5 linked regions of the Cricetulus griseus genome follow. The protein of the gene in region 1 purifies or fractionates together with the protein of each later gene. This does not show direct contact. Links are inferred from orthologs where the notes say so. Each region holds a gene or a part of one and is shown in the gene's direction. Other genes may lie near its edges. The genes, in order: Bcl7a, Dpf2, Arid2, Pbrm1 and Phf10.

What was found.
Region 2: the proteins of Bcl7a (region 1) and Dpf2 purify together in Homo sapiens (affinity purification with mass spectrometry; 3 studies listed by BioGRID and IntAct, counting the BioPlex papers as one, with this or other methods). This does not show direct contact. The link is inferred for Cricetulus griseus from reciprocal best matches to the Homo sapiens genes BCL7A and DPF2.
Region 3: the proteins of Bcl7a (region 1) and Arid2 purify together in Homo sapiens (affinity purification with mass spectrometry; 3 studies listed by BioGRID and IntAct, counting the BioPlex papers as one, with this or other methods). This does not show direct contact. The link is inferred for Cricetulus griseus from reciprocal best matches to the Homo sapiens genes BCL7A and ARID2.
Region 4: the proteins of Bcl7a (region 1) and Pbrm1 purify together in Homo sapiens (affinity purification with mass spectrometry; 3 studies listed by BioGRID and IntAct, counting the BioPlex papers as one, with this or other methods). This does not show direct contact. The link is inferred for Cricetulus griseus from reciprocal best matches to the Homo sapiens genes BCL7A and PBRM1.
Region 5: the proteins of Bcl7a (region 1) and Phf10 purify together in Homo sapiens (affinity purification with mass spectrometry; 3 studies listed by BioGRID and IntAct, counting the BioPlex papers as one, with this or other methods). This does not show direct contact. The link is inferred for Cricetulus griseus from reciprocal best matches to the Homo sapiens genes BCL7A and PHF10.

The regions. Positions count from the first base shown.
Region 1 is NC_048597.1:103,112,546-103,116,835, forward strand, and holds the start of Bcl7a (B-cell CLL/lymphoma 7 protein family member A), read left to right. Parts: upstream 1-1,489; 5' UTR 1,490-2,003; intron 2,004-2,030; exon of another isoform or gene 2,031-2,116; intron 2,117-2,230; exon of another isoform or gene 2,231-2,268; intron 2,269-2,274; exon of another isoform or gene 2,275-2,388; 5' UTR 2,389-2,392; coding exon 2,393-2,484; intron 2,485-4,290.
Region 2 is NC_048596.1:53,438,277-53,441,790, forward strand, and holds part of Dpf2 (zinc finger protein ubi-d4), read left to right. Parts: intron 1-364; coding exon 365-528; intron 529-1,331; coding exon 1,332-1,424; intron 1,425-1,558; coding exon 1,559-1,637; intron 1,638-3,131; coding exon 3,132-3,269; intron 3,270-3,514. UniProt on the Homo sapiens protein: Plays an active role in transcriptional regulation by binding modified histones H3 and H4. Is a negative regulator of myeloid differentiation of hematopoietic progenitor cells. Might also have a role in the development and maturation of lymphoid cells.
Region 3 is NC_048595.1:392,839,598-392,841,872, forward strand, and holds part of Arid2 (AT-rich interactive domain-containing protein 2), read left to right. Parts: intron 1-936; coding exon 937-1,078; 3' UTR 1,079-2,275. UniProt on the Homo sapiens protein: Involved in transcriptional activation and repression of select genes by chromatin remodeling (alteration of DNA-nucleosome topology). Required for the stability of the SWI/SNF chromatin remodeling complex SWI/SNF-B (PBAF).
Region 4 is NW_023276807.1:188,682,576-188,686,762, reverse strand, and holds the start of Pbrm1 (protein polybromo-1), read left to right. Parts: upstream 1-1,378; 5' UTR 1,379-2,606; coding exon 2,607-2,609; intron 2,610-3,714; coding exon 3,715-3,867; intron 3,868-4,187. UniProt on the Homo sapiens protein: Involved in transcriptional activation and repression of select genes by chromatin remodeling (alteration of DNA-nucleosome topology). Required for the stability of the SWI/SNF chromatin remodeling complex SWI/SNF-B (PBAF).
Region 5 is NC_048595.1:294,005,802-294,010,007, reverse strand, and holds the start of Phf10 (PHD finger protein 10), read left to right. Parts: upstream 1-1,406; 5' UTR 1,407-1,453; coding exon 1,454-1,537; intron 1,538-3,355; coding exon 3,356-3,462; intron 3,463-4,206. UniProt on the Homo sapiens protein: Involved in transcription activity regulation by chromatin remodeling. Belongs to the neural progenitors-specific chromatin remodeling complex (npBAF complex) and is required for the proliferation of neural progenitors.

The DNA.
Region 1 (4,290 bases):
TCTCCCCTCAGCCCCTGCCTAGTCTAGATAGCTCATGTAAGTGGGGTCATACAATCGTCTACCTTGTATACCCATACCTTCCCATTAGCATACTTTCAAGCATGTTTAGCAGTGTGGGTATTCCTTTTATTATTCATGGCTACATAATCCCACTGTGTATAAAGACATCCATTCATCAATTGGTATTTGTATTTAATTTTTTTTTTACATTTCAGTTTTTGGTTTTTTTTTGTTTGTTTGGTTTTTTTTTGTGTGTGTGTGTGTAAACATGTGGCAATCAGAACAACTTTCAGGAGTCAGTTCTCTCTTTCCACAATGTGGGTTCTGGGAATTGAACTCTTGTCTTCAGGCTTGACTGCAAATGTATGTATGTATATATGTATATAGTTTGTTTGAGACAGGATTTCTCTGTGTAACATGCTTTGGAGCATGTCCTGGAACTCCTTCTGTAGACTAGGCTGGCCTCAAACTCACAGAGATCTGCCTTCATCTGCCTCCCAAATGCTGGGGTTAAAAGTGTGTGCCACCATCACCTGGCTACAAGTGCATTTACTAAGCTGTCTTGCTGACCTGATGTGTGGATTTGTTTATGTCTTATTTTTAAAGTATATACATACATACATACATGTACATACACATGTACACACACACATTCTATGTGGGAACTATGGAACAGCACTTGTCTAGCACTAAACAAAAACTAATTCCCTCAGGCCCAAGCAGGGAATTGAACTGAGGGTCAAAATTATGAGACTTCTGATTTATGGCATATTTTCCAATCCAGCACTCAGAATGGTTCTCTAACATAATTGTTTTAGTTTTTTGTTTATTTTGCTTTTCAAGACAGGGTTTCTCTATTCTAGATCTCACTCTATAGGCCCAGATGGCCTCAAACTCACAGAGGCCCACCTGCCTGTGCCTTGAGTGCTGGGATTAAAGGGGTGCACCACCACAACCTGGGTGTTTGATTTTATTTATTTATTTATTTATTTATTTATTTATTTATTTAGAGACAGGGTCTCACTATTTAGTCCTGGCTAGCCTGGAATTCCTTACATAAGCCAGGCTGGCCTTGAACTCACGGAGATCTGCCAGCTTCTGCCTCCCAAGTGCTGGGATTAAAGGAGTAGGCCACCATGCCGGACTACTGTTCTTATTTTTATTTTTCACATTAGGGCCATGTGATTGAAATGGTAAAATGATGTGCTTGGGGGGAAAGCCCATACATTTTGTTCTCATTCTCCGCTAGCTCTCTCTACCAGACCCCAGCACCGTCCCCAAACTTTAGGGGGTAACACAATCAATGCCGTCACAGAAGAAGTTCATGGCTGCAACCTGGAATAACTCCTTTCCTCAGTTTCCCCACCTGTGAAATGACTTGAGTTGGGCTAGTTCTTCTCCAGGCACTGGTTTGCTCACATTAGGTCATCTCTTTTCCCAGCATCCACCTGGGCAAGCATTTGCTCTGGTCCAGTCGGTTTAGCCTCAGCTGCCTACCTATCTGTCCCTATCCTAATTGACCGCAGTAGATTCTGCCACCTAGTTCTGTCCTGGGATCGGGAACAGCCCCTCAAAAGTCTTTCTGAGTTGGACCAGTCCAGTTTACCAGCTGCTCCCGGTCAGTAAACTGCGCTTCCACCAGGAGCCGTTTAAGATTAATTTGTGGTCCTGTGACCTACGCCAGCGAGCTTTATCCCCGACTGGGACAATTTATCTCCAAGGAAAAGGAAGCCTTGCGACAATGCCTACAGCCACCGGCCTCTGGCACCTTAAACTGCGACCCTAGTTTGATCATGGTGAGGCAGACGTCCTAGCTCGCACATTTCAACAAGGCAGCTAGCTGGCCAGAAACCGGCACCTCAACTCTTTCCAAGATCACGAGTCCGGAACCACCGCCTCCAACTCTGAGAAGTCAAGCGCCCGACAAGTAACTTGCACGATCGCACCCGAGGCCACCAACCCAAGGCCAGGGCACCCACGGCCTCCTGTCTGCCATCCCCAGGGTGTGTGTCTTGGGGGGAGGGGTTCCCACCACATCCGCGGCCTCCGGGGGAGTCGGCGCGCGGGCCAGTCCCGCGTGCTGGGAGGTCGCGGTCATCCCTGATCGTTTCCCTGGGTGAGGTCCCCGAGGCTCCCCGGGGAGGGCGGCGGCGCCCGGAGGCCGCACTAGTGGCGGCCGCGCCGCTCCCCCTCGCTCTGTGCAGCTGCCGCCCGGCGCTTGCGCACTGGGCCCCGGGCGCGCGGCGGCACCAGGCTTTGTGTGTGCGCGTATGTGTGTGAGTGTGTGTCTGTGCGCGAGTGAGAGAGCGGGCGAGTGTGGCGAGCAGGACCCGGCGGGCGCGCTCCCCCAGCCTCTCTCTCTCTCCTCTCTCTCTCCCTCCCCGCCAGAACCATGTCGGGCAGGTCGGTTCGAGCCGAGACCAGGAGCCGGGCCAAAGATGATATCAAGAGGGTCATGGCGGCTATCGAGAAAGTGCGCAAATGGTAAGCCGAGGCGCCTGCTCGCTCTCTCGCTCGCCCCGGCTCGCTGCACCGCGCCACGGCCGCTGGCTAGCCCGGACCCAGCTCACGGAACCGCGGGGCGCAGCGGCCCCGGGCCCGGAGTTGGCGAGGACGCGCGGCCCGGGTCACCTGCGCCCCGCGGGGGCTGCGTCCGCTGCCCAGGTGTGCTTGGCGCGGGGTCGCCCACCTGGCGGCGGCGGCGGCGGCGGCGGCGACAGCGGCAGCGGCGGCGAAGGCGACGGCGGCTGCAACCCGGAGCTCGGAGCTCGGGAGAGGGGGGTTCGCGGCCGGCCCCAGAAGCCATTTCGTTTTTTTGTGCAAGTCACATGAAAGCGGCTTCCCGCGCGCCGGGGCCGTGATGCCGGCGGTGGCGGCGGGCAGAGCGCGAGCTCCATTGTGCGGCGCGGAGCGGGCCGCCGTCTCCTCCCGGGGCGGCGCGGCGCCGGTGTCCCCCCAAAACACACACACACACACACACACACATACACACACACACCCCACGCCCCGACCCGACCCGCCCGCAGCTCCCCGCCTCCCGGGCCTCGGCGCCCTCGAGTCTGCGGAGTTTGCAGAGCGCGAGCCGTTTAAATTTAGCGCTTTGGGCAGCCTGGAGCGAGGGCTCCGGGCGAGGAAGGAAGATGGGGGCGAGCGCTGGGAAGGCGGTGGCGCGGCTGGCGAGCGGGGCACCCGCGGCTCCCACCCGCTCCGCGCGGCACCCGGAGCTCGGGGGACGCGATGTTTGCTGCCAGAAGCCAAGTCCTGGGCCGTGTCTGCCTTCTCCGAGCTGGAGCTGGTGTTTGTTTTGCGGAGAGAGCGAGCGACCGTTGTTTTTGTTCTCTGCACTGGGGGAGGAGGAGGGGACCGCGAGATTCGGTGTGGGCCGTGCGTGTTTTTCAAGCTCAAATTAGATCGTGCCCGGCGTGGCCTCGTTATAATTAGCAGGATGGAACATTTTCACGGGCCTCGTCGGGATCTGACTCCCAGGAGGCCCTAGAGGCCAGGCCGGAGGCGCCAGTAGTCCACCTCCAGGTTGGGTCAGACTTGTTGAAAACTCCCTGCTCCCCAATTTCAACTTTATTATGTCTTTTTTTTTTTTTTTTTCTCACGGCTTCATCAGGGTCCGAGAGGGAGACGAGCAGCCGCGAGGGTGCCCCTAAGTGTCAGCGGCCGTGGGCTGGTCCCGTCCTTTATAGGAACTGGCCAGGCCCCGCTGCAGGCTGTTTCTTTGGGGGGTGTCATTTCTTGAGTAACGCCGCTGTTGTTATTGCCTTTAAAAAAAAAAAAAAAACACTACTCGGGGGCCTGTCTCAGGTCTGGTGGTGTCACAAGTTAGCTGTCCTTTCAGAGTGAAACCCAACAAAAAAAAGGCAAGGAGAAAAATCAATAAAGTCCACGTGCTCCCGGGCCTCCTATGGAAAGGGCTGTCTTCGGATGGCCGGATGCCTGCCGTGGGCTGGGTTTGGCTCCAGTGGGACAAAGAATTTTCACAACCGTGAGAAGGGGAGGCTTTCCAAAGTTGAGATCCAAGTCCTGGGTGCCGGGAGCTCCCCTGCTGAGCAAGGCGCCCAGTGCCCAACTGGAGCCATTTAAAAATGGCAGAAACAGCTGCAGGCCAAAACACAGAGGAAAACAACACAGTGCCCCCTCTCCTGTGGGACTCTCAAGGGAAGGCTGAGGTGCCCCCCCTCCCCTGCCTCAGTCCTGGTGCAAAGAAAGAACTGATATCAGGGCGTGAGTCACTTCTGTCTGTCACCCTCCTGGAGGGTAGAAAGGGGCCGGTGTAAGCTG
Region 2 (3,514 bases), on another chromosome or scaffold:
CACCACACAGATGTATACAACACACATATGCACAATAATCATGAGTAAATAAATAATCCAAGTAAGGTGCCCACTTCCTAAGCAGGGCCATGGTCTATTACATGGCAAGAAGCTTGCTTATCACCTGCTATTCCCAGGCTCTGTGTTAGCTCTTGCACATACTAAATTAAATGAGGTATGATAACATCCTTCAAAGAACTCACTGTGTTAGGGAAACAGGTAAATAGCTATATTCCAGTGCTGGCTGAACCAAGATATCTTGGTTCCTGTAGAACAGAAGTTAGTGGCTGACTTTGACTTGGCCCCAGATGTCGTAGGCTCATCTTCAGCCCTTCTGAGTTTGCTTTATTCTGATTCTTTCCAGACACAGACCAGACCCTGAAGAAAGAGGGGCTTATATCTCAGGATGGCAGCAGTTTAGAGGCTCTACTGCGTACTGACCCTCTGGAGAAACGAGGTGCTCCAGATCCCCGTGTTGATGATGACAGCCTGGGCGAGTTTCCTGTCACCAACAGTCGAGCACGGAAGGTATGTTATCCCTATGGCTAGAGGACTTTAATAAGGACCAGCCTCTTCCTTATGGATGGGAAGGGTGCACCCAGTTAGCAGAACTGACCAAGATTGGTGTGTGAGCCTTAGCACAAAAAAGAAAAACAGCCAAAACAGAAGCTGAGGCTGCCCTGCAATCCTGTGGCTCTACTGGCCACCGGCTCTGCTGCTGTCCCATCTTTCACACTCCTTGCTGTCTTCTCAGTACAGGCTAACTCATTCGTTCTCTTTCACACAAGGATTTTGTTAGAAACTTTAGGTGCCTGGTGTTACATAGGTGAAGCACACCTGGTTTACACCTATCAACTGGAAAGTTAATGCTAAGTTTAAAGATGAGAAGAGCTACAGATAAGCCAGGTACTGTGCTAAGTGTTTTTCCATATGCTTCCTCCTGTACAACCTTATGAGGTAGGTCCTGTGGTTCCCATTTCACTGACAGGGAGGCAGAAGCAAAGTAGTTAGAACTTCCCTCAAGGTCACACAAGTAAGCAGCAAAACTCATTTAAACTAGGACATGAGTTTTGGAAGCAGAACGAGCAGGACTGGGCATGGCTGCCTGGGATACTAGGGAAAGCTTTATGGAAACAGAGAGATGGGGGAAAGCAACTTGAAGAAGCTCAGAGGAAAGGAAGCAGAAATGGGATTGTAGGGTGAAGAATGATTATAGGTAGGGATAACCCCCAGAGAAGCTTCTGGGTAATTCCATGTGGCTAATTCTACATCGTGAGGGAGCTTTTGGATGTGCTTGACTTGTGCTCATTCAAATCTTCTGGTCCACTCAGCGGATCCTTGAACCTGATGACTTCCTAGATGATCTTGATGATGAAGACTATGAAGAAGATACTCCAAAACGTCGGGGAAAGGGGAAATCCAAGGTAAGGAGCCAGTATGCTTCCTGAAGGATGTAGCAGGCTGGTCCAGGAAGGCCAGGCTTTATTTCTTGTAGTTGCCTTGCTCTTCTGGCATAGACACCTTAGTAATGGCATCATCTTTTTGCTGTTCTTGGCAGAGTAAGGGTGTGAGCAGTGCCCGGAAGAAACTGGATGCTTCCATCCTGGAGGACCGTGATAAGCCCTATGCCTGTGACAGTGAGTGCCCCCTAAGGGGTGGGTAGTTCTTGTCTTGGACCCCGCTCCTGCTCTGGATGTTAGAGTAAGGGGATCATGTTCTTGCACTGAGTGGTAAAAATAAGCCTGGGTTCTTATTCTACCTGCCCACCTCTGAGAAGCCCTGGCCTTTGCTTCATAGTGGGTGGGACCTGCATGCTGTGGGAGAGATTTCTGTGGTTCCTGGGGTGGGAGGATGAGAGAACTCAACAGAGGCAGGGTTGGCCTCATCGTGGGCAGCACCCAGACCTGCTGACCCATTAAGGCAGGGCACAGGGGGCCAGCCCTGAGGGTCAGTGTCTGTCCTCTTTCCCTTTGCTTTGGCTCACCCTACTTCCGTGCCTCCAGCCTGTAGCACCGCTGCTGGGGTTCTCTCTCACTTGCTCTTGTTTTCCTGCTGTTGCTGCCCTGTCTCAAATGTACCAAGGCCTTCTTCTCATGACTTTTCTTTCTGTCTTTCAGATAGTTTCAAACAAAAGCATACCTCGAAAGCGCCCCAGAGAGGTAGCTCTCTCAACTTTTCAGACTTGTGGTTTTCCTGTCCCTTTTCCCTCTTCCCTTGTTCCTCCTGCCTTTCTCATTTCCTGTGATGCTAGCTTTGGAATCTCTGCAATGGTATGGTGGTAGTGCTGTGGAGCCCCAATTGTGCTCCACTCTCAGAGTCCTAGCAGCTGTCTTTACCGTTGCTTGTCTCCCATAGTCTTACTTGGCCTAGTATGTGGGATAGCTTCAAAGTCTTAACAGGAACCCATTATGAATAGATTCATCTGATGCTCCCCAAAAAAGACATCAGGTGGTCAGCTAATATTCCCACTATCATGCCACCACCCACTACCATCCTCCTCACAATTCCTTCCTGCTGGCCCCCTTGCCCCTCTTGGTGTCATCACTCAAGATGCCATCTTTCCTTGCTTGTTGGCAGGGGCTGGGCAGGACTCTAGTATGGGAATGTACCTCAAATTCTTTGGGAACAGTTATTCTGGCTGCTCAGTTGATAGGTGTTCCCTAAGAAACCCACCCTTTGCCCTTTGCCTATTCAATTGGGATTGGCTGCGTGGTATACATGGGGTGGAATGAGCATGCCACATTTACATAGCAGAAAAAGTCTGACGTCTCCGTATTACCTTTCCCCCTTTGCCATAAGGCAAGACCATAGAACTTTCCTGACCTGGAACTCCCAGACAGTTGCTATTCCCAGGGCTAGTTGTTGCATCCTGGGCTGAGTCCTTCCAAAAGCCAATGTAGAAAAATGTTAGTAGGTGTGGGGTTGGGTTTTAGAGAGGGGAGAGAATCCTAGAAACTGAAGAGATCCAGGGCCTGATGTTCTTGGATAAGGGACAGGGGCCATCACTAAGGTTTGTCCCAGATTAGAAATGCTGGGGACATAAGTATTTTCCATGATGCTTTACAGCTTGTCAGACTGGGTGAGTAGCACCTTCGTGTCCTAACATTTCTCTGCAATCTTCTTCCACCCAGTTTGTGGAAAACGCTACAAGAATCGACCTGGCCTCAGTTACCACTATGCCCATTCCCACCTGGCTGAGGAGGAGGGAGAGGACAAAGAAGACTCTCAACCACCTACTCCTGTTTCCCAGAGGTCTGAGGAGCAGAAATGTAAGCTGAGGTGTCAGGATGAGCAAACAGGAGAGGAGCCAGCCTGGTTATAAAAACCCTCTTTGGGGAGGAGCTTGATTCTGCCCCAACTTAATGTACCAAACTATGTTGAGTCCAAATGAGAGCCCTTACCTGTTGGGGGTGGGGAGTGGGCTGGGAGGGGAGGCGAGGGGAGCAGGAGGAGGGAGGGGAGGAAGAACTTTGGTTGGAATGTAAAATGAAATTTAAAAAAATACTTAAAATAA
Region 3 (2,275 bases), on another chromosome or scaffold:
TTATTACAATTTTAGGAATGTCTTAACCCTTTTTTCCTACTGGTTTTGTTCTTTTTCTATGATATACTTATTTTATTTTCTGCATTTTTCCTACATCTGAGGATGTACACCACATGTGTGCACTGCCCACAGCAGTCAGAAGGTGTCAGACCATAGTACTGCAGTTACAGAAACCTGAGCCACCTGGTATGGATGCTGGAACCAAGCACGGGTCCTTGGCAGGAGCAGGCTCTTAACCACTGAGTCATCTCTCCAGCCCCTTTTCTGCTTTCTCTTCCCCAGGATTATTTTAATGAAAATAGTGAAGTTCTTGGGCCATTTATTGCTGTGTGACTTATTTCTCAGATGTTTAAAGTGAAAGCTTTCACAGTGAAGCCCAACTTGAAATAACTGTACAGTGAACATCATATAGCATTGAGTTAGTGTGCTTGCCTTAGTCTCCTCCCATCTGTTTAGTCTTCCATTCCCAGCTGACTCAGTACACAGCCCAAGGCTGTTTTCCCAAGTGATGCTCCCACTGTCTCTTTGTATTCATAGCCACATCAATACTGTGACCTTTGTGATAGAAATTTTCAATTTCATAAATGTTTTTGTTCCTTGCCAGCAATTTTCTGACTTGTGAAATTTCTAAAACCCTGAATGAAGATACAGAAATAGGCTGTGTAACTTTCTGTGAATACAAACCCTGCCATGCTGCAAAAAAGACAGTTGATTTCAGGGGCCCAGAAACTGGCCTTTGTTTACTCACCAGGAAATTGCACTAACTGATGGCTAGCTGGCTGCTCCTCTTTCTACAAAGCTGCATATGGGACACTAGCTGCATATGGGACTATATGATGTTTCTATTTTAGTTATAGAATCTGTGATAAGGAATCTTAACTATGATCCTGGAGACTAACAATCTGTTTTTGTTTTGTATTTTGTTTTGTTTTCTAGATTGTTAAAGAGACATGAAAACAACTTATCAGTACTAGCCATTAGTAACATGGAAGCTTCCTCCACCCTTGCCAAATGCCTTTATGAACTTAATTTTACAGTTCAGAGTAAAGAACAAGAAAAAGACTCGGAAATGCTGTAGTGAATCCTATACCACTTACACAGCGGGGACTCAAAGTCAGATACATTTCACATACTGTTACTGAAGAAAGCACCAAGTCTTAATGGAGCAGAGACCATAGAATGAATTATTTTGTGTCGTCCCATGATGCCGAGAGGAAGCTTTGTATTCTGATCTCTGAACGAATCCCTTTCTTTTCTGTTAAAAAAAAAAAATCTAAAAAGGAAAAAAAAAAAAACAAAAAAACAAAAAACAACAAACTACTGTGGGATTGTCAACCAGCTTATCTGCAGGATGTCTCGGGTCTGGCCAATCCTGGTGGAGACTGGTGTGATCAGAATTCAGTACCATCCACATTGGAATATACATGGAATAGTGTAAAACCTACGTGAGCAGATGAAATAGAAGCATTAAATATTTTTATCTATATCCAAAAAGGAGCACATTTTTATATTTACAAAACCATTTAAGCTGGTTTGAATAAAGACAAAGTTTGAGCACACCTACCCCCAGCTTCAGAGGGGCCACCGATATCTAGCTGTGGATTGTGTGTTTTGTTAGAGTCAGTAGCTTGGTTTTCTTACTTGAGCCAATATATTTTCACTTATTTATTATCATAAAAATTTACCAGTCTGAATAGATGTTGTAAATATTTGTGAATAGAATGAACACCCTTCATACCACTGCAGCCACTGGAAATACATTCTGTGGTGTCCTAGAAGCATTATTGGTAGGCTCTGACGTTTTCTAGACTTTCCTGTCAACTGTAAGTAATTGTGATATATTCTACGCAGTGGATGAATGTTCTTTAAATTTGTGTAAATACTTCTGCAAAGGTACTGATGCTGTAAAGTCAAAACAGTTTTGTGGAACTGTGATTTTTTTTTTCTTTTCTTTTTTGGTTTTCTTGGATTTTTTCCCCCTTTTGGGTTTTTTTGTATTATACACCTTGTAGGACTCATTTTGCTGGCTGAAAGAGTATGGAATAATATATCTCATGTCATTTTTGTAGAAGACAAACTATTTGAAGGGTTTTTTCTTTTTTTTTTTTCTTTTCTTTTTTGTTTCCCCTAACATGTATCCACTGTAAGCGTTTGTCATGTGCAAGCTCAAAGCTTGTACAAAATTTTTGTATTTGTAAATTGGTTTAAATACATGGAATTTTATACAGGTTTTCTCCTGTGTTATATATGCATTATGTGCAGGTATGATATTTTC
Region 4 (4,187 bases), on another chromosome or scaffold:
ATTGTTCACTGGAAGCGTCCACAGGCATTGTAAGACTCTTGGATTTTTTACTGTAAATAAGGCCATCCTAACATCTAGAAGCAAACTCTAGAATTTTTTATTTTCTGCTTATAAATAAATAATGAAGTGATGCTTAGAGACTGTTTTTAAATAACACAAACTTTTGCTTTAAACATCTCACACATTTTCAGTACATTTATTTTGTTTCCAGCACTTTTATAGGATGGGGCTACAAAAATAAAGAGGACTCAGTTCTTGTGCCTAGGAAACTCAAGAAATTTCAAAGTATTTAATCTATGTCTTTTCTTCACTGTCAAAGGGTGTAGGTGCGCTTTACTGTTTTCTTTTTTTGTTTGTTTTGTTTTGAGATGACCTTGAACTTCTTATGCTTCTGCTTCCTCAGTGCTTGTATTACATGTGTACTCCACCATGCCCAATTCCATGTGGTGCTGGGGATTGAACATTGGGCCTCCCACCTGCTAAGCAACCGCTCTTCCGACTTAGCTATTTACCCGGTCCTTGTTTTTATTTAAAGATGAAGAAATAGATCTGAGAAGTTGTGATTTGGATAGTATCAAACTGTTAGAGGTGGAAGGTCTGGGACTCTTGAATGCAGATCCATTATTTCTTCCACACTGCATGTATACTTTGAATAAGAAATGTATACTTTGAATAAGAAAATTTGAAAACCATCCTTCCCATGCATCTTTTTCTTGTCTTTTGAAAGTGCATTAATGATTTAAGGATTTTGGCTATTATATCATCTAAAACTACAACATACTAAGTATTAATAATTTACATTTTTTGTCATTTGCTTTCCAGTGCATTATAAAAAGCAGTAATTTTGAACTAAAGTAATTGAAGACTTTGTAAAGCCCTGATAAACTTAAATGTTGTGTCTTTCCAGTGCAGATAGAACTTTTGGAAAGAAATGTTTTTCTCTGACTCTTGGGGGGAGGGAGGAAGAATTTGTAGAGTTTGCTCTCATGAGCCATTCTTGGTCTATTCCAGCTTGCCAACACTTGGGGTCACATGTGAGCCTCCCACATGTGTTCACTCTCCATCCCAGCTCTGTGATTGAACTCTGCTCTTATTGACTAGGGGGCACTTGGGCAGGCATGCTTCATTCCTGGAATTGACAGTCATTTCATGTGAGTAAAGGTGAAACTCAGTGAGACATTTCTAAGCATGTGAAAGCATTTGGTTTTTAAATGGAAGAAACTTGTCAGGTGCACCTGGGAACTGATATGTCTGTTTCTTTTTCTTTAGCAACTCTATTCGAATGTTACGTTTTCTGTCTGTTTGTACTCATTTATACTCTTATTTCCCCTTTCTCTGCCTTGTTCTTCTCTTTCAGTTCTGAATAAACTAACTGAATAAGCACTTAATAAAACCCTACCTTCTCTCACTGGCTTCATTTGGCCTTCAGACATAATGAGGAGATTGGCTTTTCGAGGCGCTGGTTGTGCTCTGGTAAAGCTGGTAAATTACTGATCATCTTCACCCTTTTCTCTTTCTGTCATTCTCTCCCTCTCCCTTCCAACCTTCTGAAGTTTTGTAATTCTTCCTATCTGAATCCCTCCTGTGTTTATCAGTGTTTCCAAGGATTAGTGCTTAATTTCATTAACTTGTGGAGTTGTGGCCAGGTGTCAGTCTTTTATAAAGTAAACAACAACAGAACCTGGGTATTTGGGGCCCAACTTTGTAAAAACTTTTAACCACTTTTAGTCAATTTCAAACTAATATTCTTGGTAACAAACCAAAGCCTACAGGATGGAACATGATCACTGTAGATTGTTTTAAACAGTATGTGGACTTTAGCTCAAAGCAACAGATAGGAGACCCTTTTGTTTTTTAATTGCTTAAGGGAGTTTTTTGTTTTGTTTTGTTCTTACTTTCTGTTTCCTGGAGGTCCCCAATTTTTCTCTCTGTAGTACTGGCACCCAGTGCTCTACTATTCTTTTTTGTTTAGCTGCTAGTGTCTGAATTTCCTGAAATCAAATGTTGAGTGAAACTGGGTCTGCTGTAACTTTTAGCTTTAGAAAAGTTCTTTGTAATTACAGTGCACCATTTGCTACTGCTGTTAAAGTATATAACCATTGTAGGACTTCCTGGGTCTATACCCTTTAACTGTAGTAAGTTATTCCAGTGGTTGCATTTCTTACATTATAGCCAAATGTGTATATTGTAAAGTTATGTTAAGAATAGTTTCTTTTCTTTTTTTATTTGAGACACTATGTAGCCCTAGCTGGCCTACAACTCAATATCCAAGGCTGGCCTTGAGCTCACAGAGATCTGTCGGCTTCTACCTTGCTTCTCAAGTGCTGGGATTAAAGGCATGCACCACCATGCCCAGCAAAGAATAGCGTCTTATGAGGGCTAGGGAGATATCTTAGTGGGTAAAGTACAAACGTGAGGACCTGCATTTAGATCCCTAGCACATACCTAAAAGTCATGTGTGGTGGTAGTGTCCATAGCCCCTCACTGGAGGGGCAGAGACAGGTAGGTCTCAGGCACTCACTGATCAGGCATTCTCCAAGTTTAATGAACAGCACTTTTTCAAAGAAAAATGGACAGTGTTAAAGGAAGACATCTGATATTAACCTATGGTGAGTGCACACACACCCATTTCTCATTTTTTCTGGATTAGAGATGGCTTTCTTATCATGTGTGAGGCCTACATTAAGTCCCTAGTACTGCAAAGAACAGTAAGAAATACCAAAAGCCAGCTAACAAAAACCATTGTCAGCCTAAAGCCAAGAGCAAATGTTTATGTGCTTTCCAAATGTCCACACAGTAGCTAAGAGCCCATATATATAACATGTTCTTCTAGATCATCTAGTGAAGCTTAAAACTGTTTTCACAGTCTGTGAGTATAGTGTACATTGGGACAGAGCACAAATTGCTAGTTCTCTCCAGATATAGCAAAAATTACATTCACAGGGGTATTTTTTTCCTCCATTTTTAAATTTAAATTAGAAACAAGATTGTTTTACATGTCATACCCAGTTCCCTCTCCCTCCCCATCACAGGGGTATTTTTTATGAATTCTGCTTTAAGTGGAGAATTCATTTCTAGGATACTTGTACAGTGCTGGAAAGTTTACTGCTTCACCCCCTTTTGCATCACCCCGTTTGACTGGCCTTAGGTACTGCTTCTTAGTTTTGTTTTCCACACTATGGCCCACTTAGGTAATGGGTATAATTATAAGAAATACAGGGGACTGGAGAGATGGCTCAGTGGTTAAGAATGCTGGCTGCTCTTCCTGAGGATCTAGGTTAATTTCCCAGCACCTTCTTGGCAGCTCACAACCAGTTGCACATCTGATGGCCTCTGGCATCAGGCACACATGTGATACACAGATACATAACACACATATACATCAAAAATAAAAAAAGGAAAATAAAAAAAAAGGAAGCCCCATTCCAGGAAATCTGGGGCAAAAAGTGGTTGAGTAATTTAGAATTATTGACATATAAATGTGTATACTTACGCCAAATTTGTCCTATCAGAGTTTGATAATGTAGCACTCTGATAATTAAAAGGCTAATTGCATTGAAGTCCAGGACTTAGCAAAAGAATGTAGAGCTAGTTAAATCCCTCTGGAATAAACTATCTTAAATGAACCAGAAGTTTCATGGTATATACCTAGCTGAGAGTTTGTTGACATTGTTGAAGATTAAACATAAGCACTTGGCTAATTGTTTCTTGTAGAAGAAGTTGGATTCCATGGGTTCCAAGAGAAGAAGAGCTACCTCCCCTTCCAGCAGTGTCAGTGGAGACTTTGACGATGGGCACCATTCTGTGCCTACACCAGGCCCAAGCAGGAAAAGGAGAAGACTGTCTAATCTTCCAACTGTGGATCCTGTGAGTAACTAAGGCTTCGTGGTTTCTGCCATTTCCCATGGTTTGCCTATACTTCCTTCTTTGAAGCAGTTGAGCTGCATAGCTTTCTTTTCCATTTGGTTTATTTCTCTTATGAAAAGTATACTTAGTCACAAGTCTTCTTTTTTAATTTTTTTTTTGTTTTATAGAAACAAGCTTCTTTTACATGTCAATCCCAGTTCCCTCTCCCTCCCTTCACTTCCCCCCTCCCAATCCCAACCCCTTCCAAGAGGGGGGTCTTCAAAGTCTGTCATATCATTAGGAGCAGGGCCTAGGCCCTCCCCCATGTGTCTAGGCTGAGA
Region 5 (4,206 bases), on another chromosome or scaffold:
CACCTGCACTCCTCATCCGCGCACACACACCTTCCCCTTTCATAGAAAACAGGATCTCTTATTGGCCCAAGACTTGTTGCTTAGCCTGTTTCTACTTTTTCACCTCACCAGCATTGGATTACAAGTGTGCCACCATCATGCCTAATTTTTTTTTTTTTTTTTTTAATGTTCTGGGGATTGGACACAGGTCCTTGTGTTCACTTTACTACCTCTCCATCCTTTAAATTCTATTTTAAGGAAGTTATTCTCATGCAGTCCTTTTCTATTATAGCTACCCCAATTTAATTTTTTTTTTTTGGCCCTTTTTACTACTTATAGCTCTCTCCATTGATGAAATTTCATTTTATGGCCCACTGGTATAGTCAATTCTCTAGAAACATCCCAGATTTCATGGCTTAGTCCAAGAGCTAATATCCTGTCCAAATACCATGGCTCCCATTTCCAGGGCCCCCGGATCCTGTGTCCTGCAGGTGCTCAGGGGCTCTGCCAGTCATATGGTCTTGGGGACCCTCCCCCTCCACATTCTCTCGGACTGTCTGGGTCCTGCTTGGCTAAAGCTGCTCTGACTCTTCGCACGTGGTCCAGAGGGCCACCTTCCCAAGGTCGCAGCAGAGGCAGAAGCGAGACAAAGGCGCTGAGGGTGCCTTGGGGACCCCGGGATGTGCAGAGTGAAGATGGAACGGTGGGGTGAAGAGGGGCAAGGACACAGGGTGGGGAAAGAACACTGCAGGAAAGATGAGGGAGGGAGTGGGGAGACCTGGGGGAGAAGGGAAGGGCCCGGCGTGTATGGGGACCCCCGGCTGAGGGGTGGGTCTGGGGACATGGGGTGTGTGTGAGTGTTGGGGAGGGGGGAGGGAGGACACCGTGTGGCGGGGGCTCCTTTCGAAGGGGAGGAGCCGCGGATCCAGGTGGGGTAGGGGAAGGCCTCCGGCGGGCTGGGGACCCCCGGCTGACGCGCGGCGGAGGAGGGGAGGGGGCGGGCGGCGGGCGGGGCGGGCGGAGCCGCGGCTGACGACGCGGAGGGCCGGGCGGGCTGGGGGCGCAGGGAAGGGGCGGCGGCGCGGCGGCGGCGGCGGCGAGCTCGCCAGGCGGCCGGGAAGCCGGGCGAGGCTGGGGCCGGGTCGTCGGCGGCGGGCGGTCGGGCTGCGGGGCTCAGGCCGGGCGCGGCGCGGCGCTGCAAGCCGGCGGGTCCCGGCAGAGGCCGGCGGAGCGGCGCAGCTGCGGCGGCTGACGTGAGCGGCGTGCGGGCGAGCGGACGGGCGGGCGAGCGGGCGGCGGCGCGCTGCGGCTATGGCGGTGGCGCTGGCGGGCCGCGGGGCGCGCGGCGGCAGGGGCGGCCCCGGGCGGGCGGGCGGAGGGGCGGGGCCGGGCGCGGGCGGCCGGCGGCGGGCGGCGGCGGCGCAGGCGGCGGCGGCGCGGCGGCGGCGGCGGCGGGCGCGGGGCGCTGGGGCTGATGGCAGCGGCCGGGCCCGGGGCGGCGCTGTCCCCGCGGCGGTGCGACAGCGACCCGGCCTCCCCCGGAGCGCAGTCCCCGAAGGTGAGCGAGCAGACCGCGCTGCCCAACGGCGGCGGCGAAGCCGGGCCGGGCCTGGGCGGGGAGCGGAGCACCGCGGGGAGCGGGCGGCAGGTCGGGGAGCAACAAGTGCGGCCGACGAGGGTCGCGGACCGAGGCTCGCAGGCTCCCCCGCAGCTGGGGAGCTCGGAAAAGTTGCGGCCTTCGGGGATCGCAGTCAGGACGCCGCTCGGCGGGACCTGCCCCGGGGACCCCAGCCGGCCGCGTGCCCCGGTCCTCCTGCTCGGTGCTCCTCTCGCCGGTAGCCCGGCCGGCCTCAGTCTCGGACCGCGCGGGGCTCGCCCCGAGGACCGGGCAGCCGAGAGGGCCCGTAACGAAAGCAGACCTCGGGCTTCCCACCTCTTGCTCCTAAACTTCTTGGTGTCAACTTCCGTTTCTGTTTCTTTTCAAGTGAATTATTGTTTTTAACTGAAGGAAGTTGTAGACATCAAAAAAAAAAAAAAAAGAAGGTCGTTAAAATGTTTACACAGAAAATAGGTACTTTCAGTGTTCAAAATGAACTGTCCAAAGTATGGAATCCGAGTACTATAAAAAGGATGAATTTTAAGGAAAATAGTCTTTTCCCAACTTATCCCCGATTGTTAGTGTTACAGGGAGTTTTCAGTCTGTGTAATTAGCTTCATTTTTGATGAGTGAAAAGGAGAATATGTATGTTTTTCTATTTGGAAAATAATTTTAGTAAGTTCCTAGGTGCTAGAGTCGAAATGTAAAATCCTACCCCTTATCTTAACGTTAATAGGTATCAAACAGTTACATGCTAGTCCCTGCTGTTAGTGAAGTCTGTTTATTCCCTTACTTAATCCTTGCATCAGCCACCTGACTTCAGAGGCAGAGGGGCTTTAACACAGGGCTGGTGGAGGGAGGGAGGGCAGTTCCCTGTGAGACTCCAGGCAGCCCACTGTGTGCCTCTTCATTCTCTTTAGAAGGTTTTTTATTCTAATACATAGTAAGAGTGGTAGTGTTAGGAGCTACATTACCTTGATTTACAAAAAATATGACTTTTAAGTGGCTAGACTTGCAGTCGTCTGTCCCATTTACATTGCTCAAAATGTAATCTGGAGCCTGAGCCTAAAACACACAAGGATGATAGCATGTGTGGAATATTTGTTCTGGGCTGGCTCCTCTTTGAGCATCAGCCAGAGACAGAGGCATGCTATCATTAAAGAGATTTTTTTTTTCTTTAAAAAAATGACTCAAGTAATATGTTAATAAAGTGTTTTAAAAGCATTTGATTACTCGTTTCATTAATGGAATAGCTGAACAACATATATATCCTGGATGAGCTGAGTTTCTTTTCTGCAGTGTAACAAAGAAAATGTGCTTAGATTTGCCAACCTGTGTTCAGTCCTTGTCTCCACAGTAGCTAATTAGAATTACACTCTTGTGGGCCAGTTGTAAGTTGGAGGATCCTATAACATTTATTGATTTTTTTTTTCCCAGTTCAAATAGGAAGTCCTGCTTTAATTTTAGAGTGGCTTCTACCCACCCAGTTGCTAAGAAAGGGAAGGTAGAATATATTTTAAAAATCATAGCTGAAATTTTTATTTTGTTTGAATTGAAGGTCCATTTTTAGTTTTATTCTGCTTCTTGCTTGTAACAAATTCTTTGCCCTGACAATTATTGTAGGAAATTAGTTTTCTAAATACATTAGTTAGAAATATGCTTTCTCTTGTGGAGTCTTAGGCAAACTGCAAAGATACACAATCATTCTTTGTTGTTGTGTTTTTCTTTAAATCATTCTTTTATTTTCTATTATTATTTTTCAATCATTTAAATGTACAGGATGATAATGAAGATAACTCAAATGATGGGACCCATCCATCTAAAAGGAGGCGAATGGGCTCAGGGGACAGCTCGAGAAGCTGCGAGACTTCAAGTCAGGATCTCAGGTACTACTACTTGAAGGGTCAGTAGTAGCTTTTGTAGACCATTTGGCCTCTTCTTCCCTAGGCATCAGGAGCAGTTATTAAAAATTATATTTATGGGCTGGAGAGATGGTTCAGCAGTTAAGAGTGCTGGATGCCCTTTCAGAGGACCTGAGTTTGGTTACTGGTACCTACATGGCTGCTCACATTGGCCTGTGAGCTCTAGAGGGTCTGATGTCCCATTCTGCCCTCCACAGATGTGTGTACACACACATTCACACAAAGCAAAAAATAAACAAAAACACATTCTAAGAAGAAAAAAAAAGCCATATAATATAATACCTAAGTAGGTCTTGTTCCTGAGCTGTTAAGAAGTTATGGTAAATTAGGTATGTAAGACTCACTGTTGTAGCACTTTCAAGTGTACAGTTAAGTGGTGTTAATTGCATTCACAGTGTTGTGCAACTATCACTATCATCCCTTTCCAAAACTTCAGTAACTCAAACGGCATAACCCTCCAGTACCTTCTATCCCTCCTGCCTCTAGCTGCTGGCCACTACAATTCTGCTCCCTGCCCCTGAGTGTGAACCCTACAGTACTTGCCCTGTGGTATCTGACTTATCCGTTAGCATAATGTCTACAGGGTTCATCTGTGATGGAGTTCATGTCAAAATTTCCTTCAGTCTGAACAATATCCCACTTTGTTTATTCATCTGTAGGCTGGGGTAATTAATGTGAACATTGGCATTCCTAATCCCTGCTTTTAAT